Linked DNA regions of Oryctolagus cuniculus. The protein of the gene in region 1 purifies or fractionates together with the protein of each later gene. This does not show direct contact. Links are inferred from orthologs where the notes say so. Each region holds a gene or a part of one and is shown in the gene's direction. Other genes may lie near its edges.

The links.
Region 2: the proteins of STK24 (region 1) and PPP2R1B purify together in Homo sapiens (affinity purification with mass spectrometry; 3 studies listed by BioGRID and IntAct, with this or other methods). This does not show direct contact. The link is inferred for Oryctolagus cuniculus from reciprocal best matches to the Homo sapiens genes STK24 and PPP2R1B.
Region 3: the proteins of STK24 (region 1) and MOB-like protein phocein purify together in Homo sapiens (affinity purification with mass spectrometry; 4 studies listed by BioGRID and IntAct, with this or other methods). This does not show direct contact. The link is inferred for Oryctolagus cuniculus from reciprocal best matches to the Homo sapiens genes STK24 and MOB4.

The regions. Positions count from the first base shown.
Region 1 is NC_091440.1:13,996,574-14,000,754, forward strand, and holds the start of STK24 (serine/threonine-protein kinase 24), read left to right. Parts: upstream 1-1,377; 5' UTR 1,378-1,467; coding exon 1,468-1,776; intron 1,777-2,437; exon of another isoform or gene 2,438-2,949; coding exon of another isoform or gene 2,950-2,991; intron 2,992-4,181. UniProt on the Homo sapiens protein: Serine/threonine-protein kinase that acts on both serine and threonine residues and promotes apoptosis in response to stress stimuli and caspase activation.
Region 2 is NC_091432.1:103,722,081-103,726,111, reverse strand, and holds the start of PPP2R1B (serine/threonine-protein phosphatase 2A 65 kDa regulatory subunit A beta isoform), read left to right. Parts: upstream 1-1,227; 5' UTR 1,228-1,271; coding exon 1,272-1,385; intron 1,386-2,166; coding exon 2,167-2,257; intron 2,258-2,669; coding exon 2,670-2,770; intron 2,771-4,031. Other genes in the region: alpha-1,2-mannosyltransferase ALG9, read left to right, coding at 722-911. UniProt on the Homo sapiens protein: The PR65 subunit of protein phosphatase 2A serves as a scaffolding molecule to coordinate the assembly of the catalytic subunit and a variable regulatory B subunit.
Region 3 is NC_091440.1:69,971,544-69,975,489, reverse strand, and holds MOB-like protein phocein, read left to right. Parts: upstream 1-1,142; 5' UTR 1,143-1,152; coding exon 1,153-1,830; 3' UTR 1,831-3,725; downstream 3,726-3,946.

The DNA.
Region 1 (4,181 bases):
GATGAAAACAATAGGTTAGTATCTCCATGGAGACAAGAGAACATATAATCTCTATGGAGACCCTCAAATTCTTTTTGGAATTACAGTAGTAAATGATCTGTTGTAATTATTTATTAGGGGTGGAGGGAGAGTGATGAGAGGAAAAGTGTGAGAGGATGGTCCTTTTCTTTCCTTGGTAGAAGTGATTTTTTTTTTTTAAAGATTTATTTATTTATTTGAAAGGCAGAGTTACAGAGAGGCAGAGGCAGAGAGGGCAAGCAAGTGAAGACTTCCATCTGCTGGTTTACTCCCTAAGTGGCTGCAATGGCAGGAGCTGGGCCCATCCAAAGCCAGGAGTTTCCTCTGGATCTCCCACGTGGGTGCAGGGGCCCAAGGACTTGGGCCATCCTCTACTGCTTTCCCAGGCCATAGCATAGCAGAGACCTAGATTGGAAGTGGAGCAGCCGGGACCCAAACCAGCTTTACTGCTTCCTACAGCGCCGGCCCTGGAAGTGACCCTGTTGTCACTCTACGTGCCATCAATTATGGTACTGTAAACTTCCAAAGTTAGGATAGTGAGACTAGATTTCCAGGATGGGATCACAAGCACCTGGGGATCTAGTCCTGTTTAGATGCCCTATGCTGAACTGATGTCTGAATGCAACAAGTGCACAAAAAAGTGTAATGGGAGTCGGGGGGGGGGGGGAGGGTGGGATGGTGGGAAGAATCAGTATATTCCTAAAGTTGTGCTTATAAAATGTGTACTCAATGAATAAAGGGTGTCTTTTGGAAAAAAAAATAAAGTGTAATGATCGAATGCAAAACCGCACAGAACTGTTCCTGACTCAGGCCTTGTCAATCATCAGTGTTCTGGGAAGACAAAGCAGCCAGAGACCTACAGTTCTGTAAACACTGGTTGATGCCTGCATAGGACTGAGAAGAACTTGTTACTTCTATGAGCATTCTTCTTGTTCAGTGAGAATGGAACTCAATGGTCAAAGAAGAAAAACTGAGATAAACAGAGAACAGGAGATAGATCAGCTAAAGGATGCAAGTCTCAGACCATGTCCAGATAAGCCACATCCACTGGGAACCCGTATGTTCCTAGTCTCACTAGCCCTGGTATACAAATATTATTCTGATTATTTTTTATATCTGGAATATTATGGTCCAGTGTCTTCTACCCCTCATTTCACATCCTCACAATTTCTGAGCATTTCCCATGGTATTGCTTCAGATCAGTGCTCTGATGTTACTGTCCATTTGTATCTCAGCACGATGGTCTCCTCTGGCTCTGATTAGTGACCAGAAAAATCATCTTTAATTCCAGACAGCTAAATTTTGGTGCATATACTTCTAGGTTTTTCTCTACTAATACACACACACACACACACACGTTTCTAAAATTAATTTATATGCAGTAGCTTGAAATCAAACTACACAAAGGGCCTTTTAAAAAGTTTACAATGTGTATTATGAAAAACCAGCATGGATTTCAAAACCTTATGCAACATACAAATACCCCTTAATTCCATTTTTCATGAACTTTCTGAAGTGCCTGTGCATTGTTTTGGTTCCTACGTTTTCTTCAGTGAGTACGTAACGAAAACACTGTTTACTGCATCTGTTAGGGTTTTCCACGGTAGATTCCCCAGGATTCTAAATGCCACTTCGCTGCAGCTTTCGATACGTTCTAGTCATTTCCTCAGGCTGTGTCACTTTGGGTGGAATTCCCAGGCTGAACACGACGGGCCCTCGAAGAGTGCACGTTCCTTCTGGTTTGGCTCTTCTCCCGAGGTACGTTTCTTAGCGGTACAGAATTTAGGTAAGCTCGTAAGCGGCTGCTTTTCTGCCTTGTATTTGTCACATCCTCCCCAGAGTCACCGCCCCGGCTTCTCTGTAAGTGAGCAGTGTCCCTGTGACAGCCAGGAAGGCGGCCTGAGGTCTCCCGGGGCTCCCAGCACAAGCAGGGGTGCGGTGCTGCGACACCTCGGACTCTGCTTACCGCGTCCTGCGGCCTCTGGGGGCTCGCTGTGGCCGCCTCACCTCGCACAGCCAGCGGGCAGAACGGGCACTCCCGGCCCGGAGAGGCGCGGGGCAAAGTCCGCACGCCGCTTCCTCCGGCTCGGCGGGCGGCCCGCAGGCCCTCCCCGCTCGCTCCTCGCAGCCGCGCTGCCGGCACCGCGTTCAGTCAGCAAACGCCCGGCATACAGTCGCCGCCCCGGCCTCCGGGCGGTCGGAAACTTCCTCACACGCCGCAGAAGCTCCGCCGCGGCCTGCGGGAGCAGCCCCGGGCCCAGCCCCCGTCTAGGAAGGCCGCCCGGGGCGCGGGCACAGTGCAGCGGCGGCCGGGCGGCCCGGGATCGCCTCAGCGCCCGAGCCGGCTCGCGGGGCTCCGACCCGCTCGCGCCCCGGCGGACGCCCTCGCGGCGCGGCACCGCCCCCCGGGGGGCGTGGGAGCGCGCGCGGGAGCCGCTGGGATGCAGGCCCGGCCGGCAGGCGGCGGCGCGGCGCCTGCGGCCTAGGGCGCCCGGGCGGCCGCCGGGCCTCCTCCTCTTCCTCCCTCTCCCCTCCTCCGCCTCCCGGAAGCGCGGGGCGGGGTCCCCGGCCGGGCCGCGGGGGCGGGCGCGGGGGCCGGGCCGGGGCGGGGCGCTCTCGGCGCTCGCGGGCTCCGCCGGTGGTGCGCGCCCACTCCGGGTCCAGGCGGCGAGTACGTGCGGGCCCAGGCCGCCCGGCTCCCGCCGAGAAGCAGCGGCGGCAGCGGCGGCGGCTCGCGCTCGGCCCCCCGCGCCCCGTGTGGGCGCCGTGCATGGAGACGCGGCCCGGCGCCCGTCGCTGAGCTCCGCCGGCTGCCGGGACCCGCCGGGGCTGGGGTGGCCTCGGGATCCGGCGCGGCCCGCGGGCCTGGTCGCCCGCGCGGATCGCCGCGGCCCGGCCGTCCCGTCCCAGGAAGTGGACGTCCTGCGCGCCATGGCTCACTCCCCGGTGCAGTCGGGCCTGCCCGGCATGCAGGTAGGCAGCCGCGGGCCTCAGGGACTGGGGATGCGGGGCTGGGGCGGAAGCGGGCAACTTGGCGGTGTAAACAGGGCCCCCCCCCCCCAGGCTCTCCCTTCCGGGGTCGCGTCGGCCGGGGTTCGGGCCCTACTCCCGGGGCTGCTCGCGGGCCGCGGCGGCCGGGTGTGGATGTGTGGCGGGGCGCGCGGGGTGGGGGGTGCACCGAGGCCTGGGTGCGGATGTGGGGCACCGGCGCCTGGCCCCCAAGTCCTGAGCAGTGCAGGGCCTGCGGCGGCCCCGCGCCGGGGGAGACGGGAGGGGAAGACGTGCCCTTGGAGGCCCCGGGCGGCGCGGGGGCGGTGGAGGCCCCCCGGGCCCGCGCGGGGCTCGGCTCCTCGGGCGGCGGGCGGAGGGAGGGGCGCCGGCGCGCGGACAGGGCGCGGTGCGGGAAGGTGCGGGCCCCCGGCCTGGCGCAGGCCCCTGGCCCGGCGCTGGAGTTCCACTTGGCGACTTGGTGGGATTTAGAGGAGTTCCGCGCCGTGGACCTGGCTGTTGGTGCTTTGTGGCTGCTTGGCCTAGCGGTCCCCTTTTTTGGGGGGTGAAGTGGGGGGAGGCGTTGGATTTTCGATGGTCGCGAACGCCTTCCAAGTTTTTCCTCCGTAGGTGACTATGTTTCTAGCTCTTGGAAAAAAAAAAAGTGAAACCCCCATCGCGAGCCAACTTGTCATGTCCGTGAGCACGTCGGTAAAGGGTGGCGGCGCGATGCGGGTTCCAGCCTCGCGTTGCTGTGCAGTGTGCCCCTGAAGTTTTGTTTTTTCCCGGACAGCCCAGCCGGGCGGGAGAACGCACGAGCTTCCGGAGATCGGCCAAAAAAAAAAAAAAAAAAAAAGATTTTTTGTTATTTTGTAGACATGGAGGGGAGGGCTGAGGATCGCCCCTGGACCTCTGCTCCTCCTCCATTGGAAACCATCCCCCTGTCCCCCGAAAACCATAGCAAGAAAGCCTGATTTCATTGTTCAGGTTTGAAATCTAGCAAAATAGGAGCTCAGTGTCACCACTTCAGTGGTAGCCAGAATTTCAGGCAATTTTTTTTTTTTAGGAGTAACAAACTATCTTAGGATGGGCGGGTGCCAGAGTGTGTTTTTTGAATCTCATTGAGAGCTCTTTAACGTGCGATGTGAGTTTCTGCTGACCACTAGGTAAAAATC
Region 2 (4,031 bases), on another chromosome or scaffold:
CCGATGGCAGGAGCCAGGTGCTTCTCCTGGTCTCCCATGGGGTGCAGGGCCCAAGCACTTGGGCCATCCTCCACTGCACTCCCTGGCCACAGCAGAGAGCTGGCCTGGAAGAGGGGCAACCGGGACAGAATCCGGCACCCCGACCGGGACTAGAACCCGGTGTGCCGGCGCTGCAAGGTGGAGGATTTGCCTAGTGAGCCGCGGTGCCGGCTCAAAATCGTATTTATTAATAAGACAGAAAAATATCAGAGCTTGTAGTCCTCCTATGTAGTTATTACTTGAATTCCAGTCAAAAGCAGGGACAGGACATCTAGGTATTCTGTGTTGCCCTAACACGGGTAAATGAAAACCTTCCCTTGAATTTCTGCAGGGAAAAACTCCCAGACCCCCACGTTCCCCCAGGGCCGCCTTTGAGGACACTCGGGTCTGGGGAGGCCACGTCAGGCTGTCTTGCAAGGAGCACAGGAGCCACTCCACGCAGTTTGCAAGGATTAGAGCTTGTCCTAGTTTTGCTTGATTGTTGTACTTCTTGCATGCTAAAGAGCTAAAAAATGGGAGGAAGAAAATACAACAGAAGGCACCATTCCAGTACCAAACTGAAAAGAAACATAAAAACAAGAGAGCAGCATGTTTTTAACAGCTTGCGTGGAAAAAATATTGACTGGGGAGTTTGGACAGCACTGTTCATTTTCTCTCGCCGCCCGCGTTATTTGTCTTACAGAGTAGGAGCCAGATACAACTCTGGCGAGCAGGCTCAAGAAGAGGTGGAGGGGTTCTGTGGAAGCTTGATCCTGAGTGCAGAGATGAAGCCTGGAGACCCAGTGGCTCAGGGCCAGGATGAAGGCAGGGGAGGCGCTAAAACCTTCTTCCTCCTGGCCTCGGACACCCTTTTTGGCCGGCCTGAGTCCTAATAGAGCACAACACTGATCGCTCACGGAGGTACCTGCCTCCTTCAGACCACAACGAGCAGGATGAATCCCTGCCCCTGTTTCTTTCGGCTGAGGAAAGGACACTGGGCTTCCGTTCGCTTTCACAGCCCACCTTTCTTCTGGAGTTCGGACCTCCGCCTCCTGCAATGGGGGTCGGGCGGGAGCCTCCATCGGCGGGGCAGAGGCTCGGTGCTCCCACCTCCGCGGAGCCCGCGCCGAGGCCTCAGCCCCGCCCGCCCGGGCGCGGGGCGGGGCTCGGGGCGTGGCGCGGGGCGTGGCGCGGGCGCGGGGCGGGGCGCGGGGCGGGGGCTGGCGGCGGCGACCATCCGGAGGAGAAAGAACATGGCGGGCGCGGCGGGGCCCGGTACCGGCCCGGGGGCTGCGGGCGGAGATGGAGACGATTCGCTATATCCGATCGCGGTTTTAATCGACGAACTCCGCAACGAGGACGTGCAGGTACCGGACTGGGGCGGGGAGAGCCGTGGCGGGTTGGTCCGGCGTCGCTCAGGGTAGGGAAGGGGGAAGCCCGGAGCCGCTGTGAGGGAGGCCGGGAGGTTGAAAGAGCCGGACGCGGAGCAGAAACTCGAAGGGGAAGCTGGAAAGACTCGCGAGGGGCTGTGGCGCCGAGCCCCGGCCCACCGCGGGGCCTCTCCAGCACCCCTCCGTCGGGCTTCCGACCGTCCCGGGCTGTTGTCGGAAAGCCGGCTTCCCGCCTGGGCGCCCCGTTGCGGGCCCAGCGTGCGAGCCCTCGGGAGGGGCGCAGGGCCGGGCCGCGTGGGAGCTGGGCGGCCTGCGGGTCGCAGGATGCCAGAGGGCCCTTTGAGGTGCAGCCCAGCCTCTTCCCCTGGGCCTGGAAACTGGCTGGGCCTGTTGGGTAGAAAGCGGGTGGCCTGGCTGAGGAACCTAAGTGAGGCGGTGTGTCTGCTTCGGTGTAGGTTGTATTCAGCCGTCTCACCTGCTTCGTCGCTGCCGGAGTTCTGGCTTTTTAACATTGTCCCGCTTGCTGAGTATTTTCTTTCATTCCTTTCTCTTCGGGCCCTTGTAGAGAGTTTGGCCTAGGAATCCTCCCTCTGGCTAATAAGGCTGTGTTACATTACTGTTCCTTACCAATGAAGTGTAAATGAAAGATTATCCTTATTCCTAGACCTGTTAGTTAGTTCACCTGTTTGCTCCTGTTGCCTTTTGGTCTACATTGCAATCATTTTTTATTTTGTTCTTTCCATTTTCTCCTGTAAAGCTCCGACTCAACAGTATTAAGAAGTTATCAACAATTGCTCTAGCACTTGGAGTAGAAAGGACAAGAACTGAACTGCTGCCATTCCTTACAGGTGTGTGAGTCTGTGTTTCAAGAAAGGCACGGACATTTCCATTTACCAATGGCTTTCAGAGCTTTGGCTGTTTTTCAGAGTTTGTTGTCCACAGTATCAAAAAGCACCAAATTGAGGCTGGTATTTTCTGTGCAAAAGAAATTCAACAACACATATGGTAATGTTGTGGCCAGATACGTACAAACATTAACTGTGTATAGCTAATGGGGAAGTCACTGATATGAAGGTATGAATTTCTAGTTCATTCTGTAAATCAGATCCAGGAAAACTGTTCATTGAGGAGAAAATACTGTTAGGATTGGGACTGGATGTTTTTACTATTTACATATTGAATCTATTGCTAGTTTTATGTGAGTGTCCAGCTCTTGGCCAGTTACCTTGTTGGTGAGTACCTGGTTGTTGTCCTTTTCAGATACAATTTATGATGAAGATGAGGTACTGTTAGCTCTTGCTGAGCAGTTGGGAAATTTCACTGGCCTGGTGGGAGGTCCAGACTTTGCCCACTGTCTGCTGGTGAGTATTTCTATGCTGCCTACCCTCCTTCTAGAACCTTTGCAGTATAAATGATACATTGTTTGGTGATAGGCATAACAGCAGTATATTTTAGGCAGCTCATTTTATGGATAGATGCTCATAGTGTTAGCCATTGAGAGAATATATAATGTAAGCACTTTGGATTCAACCCTGTCTTATTATTTTCTATGAATAGAAGTTCTTTATTTTTCTGCCTCCATAGACTTACTAATTTAAAGAGAAAAAAGATTTGGTTATTTTTATGGGTCCCCTCCCCCCCAGTAAAATTGGAAGTCTTGTTTTTCATCCAGCAATATTTTGTCTTTATAGTGTAACTTTTGCTTCTGACTTACACTGTGATTTTGGTCAGTTGACATTTATTGAGGGCCTGCTATATGAGGCATATTGTAAGTTACAATGTTAATGTCAAAGAAAGCCAAACAAATGTAATGAGATCTTTGTTTTTGGTCACAAATATTAGGGTACAATCTTCAATGGGGAAACATAAGCACATTTAAGATACCCAAATAAGAGAGGAGAAAAGAATTAAGGTGATTAGGGGAGACTTCTTAACAGTTGATGTCTGAACTGTTTTAAGAAATGATTGGGTTACAAAGGGAGTAGGGCAGCGTGTGCAGTGGTTTAAACCACCAGCTGTGATATCAGCTAGGATCCCATATGAGCAAGTGCTGTTTCAAGTCCCATCCAGCTCCTTGCTAGTGTGCCTGGCAAAGCAGTGAATGATGGCCCAAGCACTTGAACCCCTGCTGCTCACATCGAAGACCCTGAGGGAGATCCAGGCTCCTGGCTTCTGCCTGACCCAGCCCCAGCCATTGGGAGAGAGTGAACCAGCAGGTGTAAGATCTAGATCTCCACCTCGATCTCTGTCTACCTTTTGAATAAATAAAATAAGTCTTAAAAAGACTAGGATTTCAACAGTTGGACAAGACAGATATGATATATGATACATGTTTCAGGACTTTACTGTCTGATGCTTACTCTTTCTGTCTACTTCTGAACTTTATGGAACCCCACAAGTTGACAGATATGGATTTAGATATATACTGTACCTAGTTATCACTGAAAGTGTGTATCTTTCTGTAATGTTCCTATTTAGATGTCAAACAGGTATTTGAATTTTTTAAGATATATTTATTTGAAAGGCAGAGTTACATAGAAGAGAGAAAGACTTAGAGAGACAGAGATCTTCTACCTGCTGGTTCACTCCCCAAATGATTGCAATGGCTGGAGCTGGGCTGAT
Region 3 (3,946 bases), about 56 Mb from region 1:
TTATTGCAAAAAGCCAGCCAACTTCTCAGGGAAGCAGTAAATGGCTTTTCTCTTTGCAGCCAACATGCAAATTTTGAAGCTCACTGAAAGGGTAGTCTCAGGCTTCACACAAGAGAAAATACAGGAAGACCGAGTCCTGCCAATGTAATTACCAGAGAGAAAGAGCTGACATGCCAGTACTAACAGCCATGGCCAAGGACACTGGTAAGAATTGCCATCATGGGGCTGGCGTTGTGGCATAGCAGGTTAAGCCACCACGTGCAATGCCGGCATCCCATTATGGCACTGATTGGAGTCCTGGCTTCTCCACTTCTGACCCAGATCCCTGCTAGTGTGCCTGGGAAAGCAGTGGAGAATGGCCCAAGTGCTTGAGTCCCTGCACTCATGAGGGAGACCGAGTTCCTGGCTCTTGACTTCAGCCTGGCCCAGCACCAGCCTTGCACCCATCTGGGGAGTGAACTAGTAGATGGGAGATCTCTTTCTCTCCCATCTCTCCCTCTCTCTCTTTCTGCAACTCTACTTTTCAAGGAAATAAAATAAACTGCATCATGAAGACAGGGAACATCAGAACTAATGGTCAAAGGCTAGTGTTCTTTAGGATTTCTTGGGATATTTCAGAGATTTTGGAGCAAGAGAGAGAGGGAAAGGGAGGGAAGGAGGAAGGCAATATCACTATGTTCATAGAATTGTATCTACATGTTACATTGACTGCTTATAACTAATTGAAAATCAAAATTAAAAAATAAAATTTTTAAAAACACATTTACTGTTCTCACTTTTATATATATAATACACACACACACACACACACATATATATATAATTTTCATTTGTTTCTCACTCGGCAACCATTCCTCCTGGTGGCTCTACCTTAGCAAGAATATCCAGATTCTTTTTTGTCTTCCTCTCTCCCTCCCCTCCTGCATCCCTCCCTCACTTCCTCTGTGTGTATCCAGATTCTAATGGTATGACTACAGCATTCCTGTGGCAGCCAAGCACCATCATATCTCCTACCAGGTTGCTCTGCACCCATGCGTGCCTCCCTGGGGTCAGTTCTCAACATAAGTCCAGAGTGATGCATGGTCACAGGAGTTCAAAAACTCACAGATGAATAGAAATTTTCTTAAAAGGCAGGGTGGAGATTCTGGCACTATGGTCATGGCGGAGGGGACGGCAGTGTTGAGGCGGAACAGGCCGGGCACCAAGGCGCAGGATTTCTATAATTGGCCTGATGAATCCTTTGATGAAATGGACAGTACACTTGCTGTTCAGCAGTATATTCAGCAGAACATAAGAGCAGATTGCTCCAATATTGATAAAATTCTTGAACCACCTGAAGGCCAAGATGAAGGTGTATGGAAGTATGAACATTTAAGGCAATTCTGTCTTGAGCTAAATGGACTTGCTGTCAAACTTCAGAGTGAATGCCATCCAGATACTTGTACTCAAATGACAGCAACTGAACAGTGGATTTTTCTGTGTGCAGCTCATAAAACTCCAAAAGAGTGTCCTGCTATAGACTATACTAGACACACGCTTGATGGTGCTGCATGTCTTCTGAATAGCAATAAATATTTTCCTAGCAGGGTTAGCATAAAGGAATCATCTGTAGCAAAACTAGGATCAGTATGCCGTAGGATTTATAGAATATTTTCGCATGCTTATTTTCATCACCGGCAGATATTTGATGAATATGAAAATGAAACCTTTTTGTGTCATCGGTTTACTAAATTTGTGATGAAATACAATTTGATGTCCAAGGATAACCTGATTGTACCAATTTTAGAAGAGGAAGTTCAGAATTCAGTTTCTGGAGAAAGTGAAGCATGAAGGGAATCGTACAGAAAAATGTACTGATCACATAATTAACGTTCATTATGTACTGTATATATCATTTTAGACACATCAATCATGTATTCATATTATAGCTTCTTTGTTTAGATTAGGTTTTTGTATGCTGTGTGTTGCCTTTTAAAAGGGGAAATACTTTTTAAGTTATTCATAAGCTGTATATTCACCGGTGTGGCACTCATGGTTTTTTAAATAAGATTAGTATTATCTGTTTATAATGCCTGTTAATAAAAGAATTTACAGTTTGGTAAAATTGCTGCTAAACAATCATTGGATTACAATCCTCATCAAATAAACCCATATATAAAAAGATGAGTAAGCTTGAGGTCTTGCACAAACCATTTACTAAAGAGATAGTAATGTTTTCCTTTCATTTTGTCCCTGAATTTAGATATTATAGAAAATTCTATAGAACATAAACTGTAAACTTTTCCAAAATGAGATAAAAGTACTTTAAAATTCTGTTTATAGTTTTTGATATGCATTTATGATTATGTGTATATCCAAATATAAATGCAAATGAAGCATTAGTAATTCTTATATAATCTTACTATGCTATATAAAGTATATTCTAGGCCAGCATACTTGGAAAGGATATACCTTTTTACAGCAGTGGACTGTTACATATAAGTTGATGCTAATGATAAGGCACATAAAAGGTATTCCCACTGGAAAACTGTTCACCCCCTTCTCACTTCCCATAATCCTGTCCCCAGATACTTTAGCTGAGAAGTCTTTCACCAGACTGTGACTTAGTGGTGACTTATACCTGTTTATACTCATGTTTGTATTAATTGCTTACAGATTTACCTCATATTAGCAATTATATTACACTACAAGAAAGATGTGTTGGCATAGGCTCTTTGTTTTGTGAAAATTTTCTAACTACTTGGAAGACAGACCTTAAAGCCATTTGATTCTTCCTCTCAGTAATATTAATCTTTTCATCTTACTCTAGGCAGCATTAGAGTTAAAGAAATATTGTAGTATTTATTTTGTACCCTTTCTCCACAAAATTTGAATTAAATACATATGTGAGGTTATTTGCAATAATTGATGCAAGGGTGTTGATGAATGGCCATACATTTTTTAGACTTTGTTGTAGCATATAAGAATTTGGGTGCAGATGTAACGATCTTATAATCTATTGAATGCAGTTTTTCATGGAGTACTAGAGAGGTCTTATTGCCAAATTGATTGTAATGAGGCACTAAGATAGGGTAGAAAAATTATACATGTAGTGAAGAAAATACTTAAACTCATCTCTAAGACATATTTAACAAATGTGAGAAAATTTTTCATTTAAAATAGTTATTTTGAAATGAAGATGAAAATGTATTCATCTTGATTGTCTTCAAAGAAATTATTTATACCATATTATGAGACAAGTATGCAAAGAAAAAAATATGAGAAATAGTAGCATACTGAGAGTGTGTGTATATAGTTTATGCCTTTCCAAGGCTGCCAATCGTTTTGGCTTTGAACAGTACTGTCCCAGCAGCCACAGTCCTTATTGTACCCCAACTCACAGCTATCTTTTAGAAGTTTTATGTTCACGGTGAAAGGAATGTTGAGTTTGAAATTATACGTTTTTTTTTTTTAATGTCACTATAAACTAATGGAATAGTAATTTTTAAGCAAACTTGCTGAATATTGAGAGAATAACCTACTAAGTTAAATTATAGATAGCAATGTAGCTCTTCTCTCTTGATGGTTTCTCATAATGGCTTTCTGTTACTTGACTATTTTCTTGGTGAACATTAGAACTAAAATAGTGACTGGAATTGGTTATCTGGCTAAGGATTTTGAAACACATTTTGAATAATATGACTTAGTGTTTAATGGGGAAATAAAATGATATTTTTTCGTATTCATTCCATCTTCCCTGTACTGTGTTTGGAATTGATCATAAAAGAAAAAAAAAAACTCCAAAAGAAAAAAAAAAAAAAAAAAAGGCAGGGTGGAGGGGGCAAGTGTTTAGTGCTGCAGTTATGTTGCCATTTGGGATGCCAGCATCCAGTACTGGAGTGCTTGCTTTGAATCCTAGTTACTCTGCTTCTGATCTGGCTTCCTGCTAATCTGCACCATGGGAACC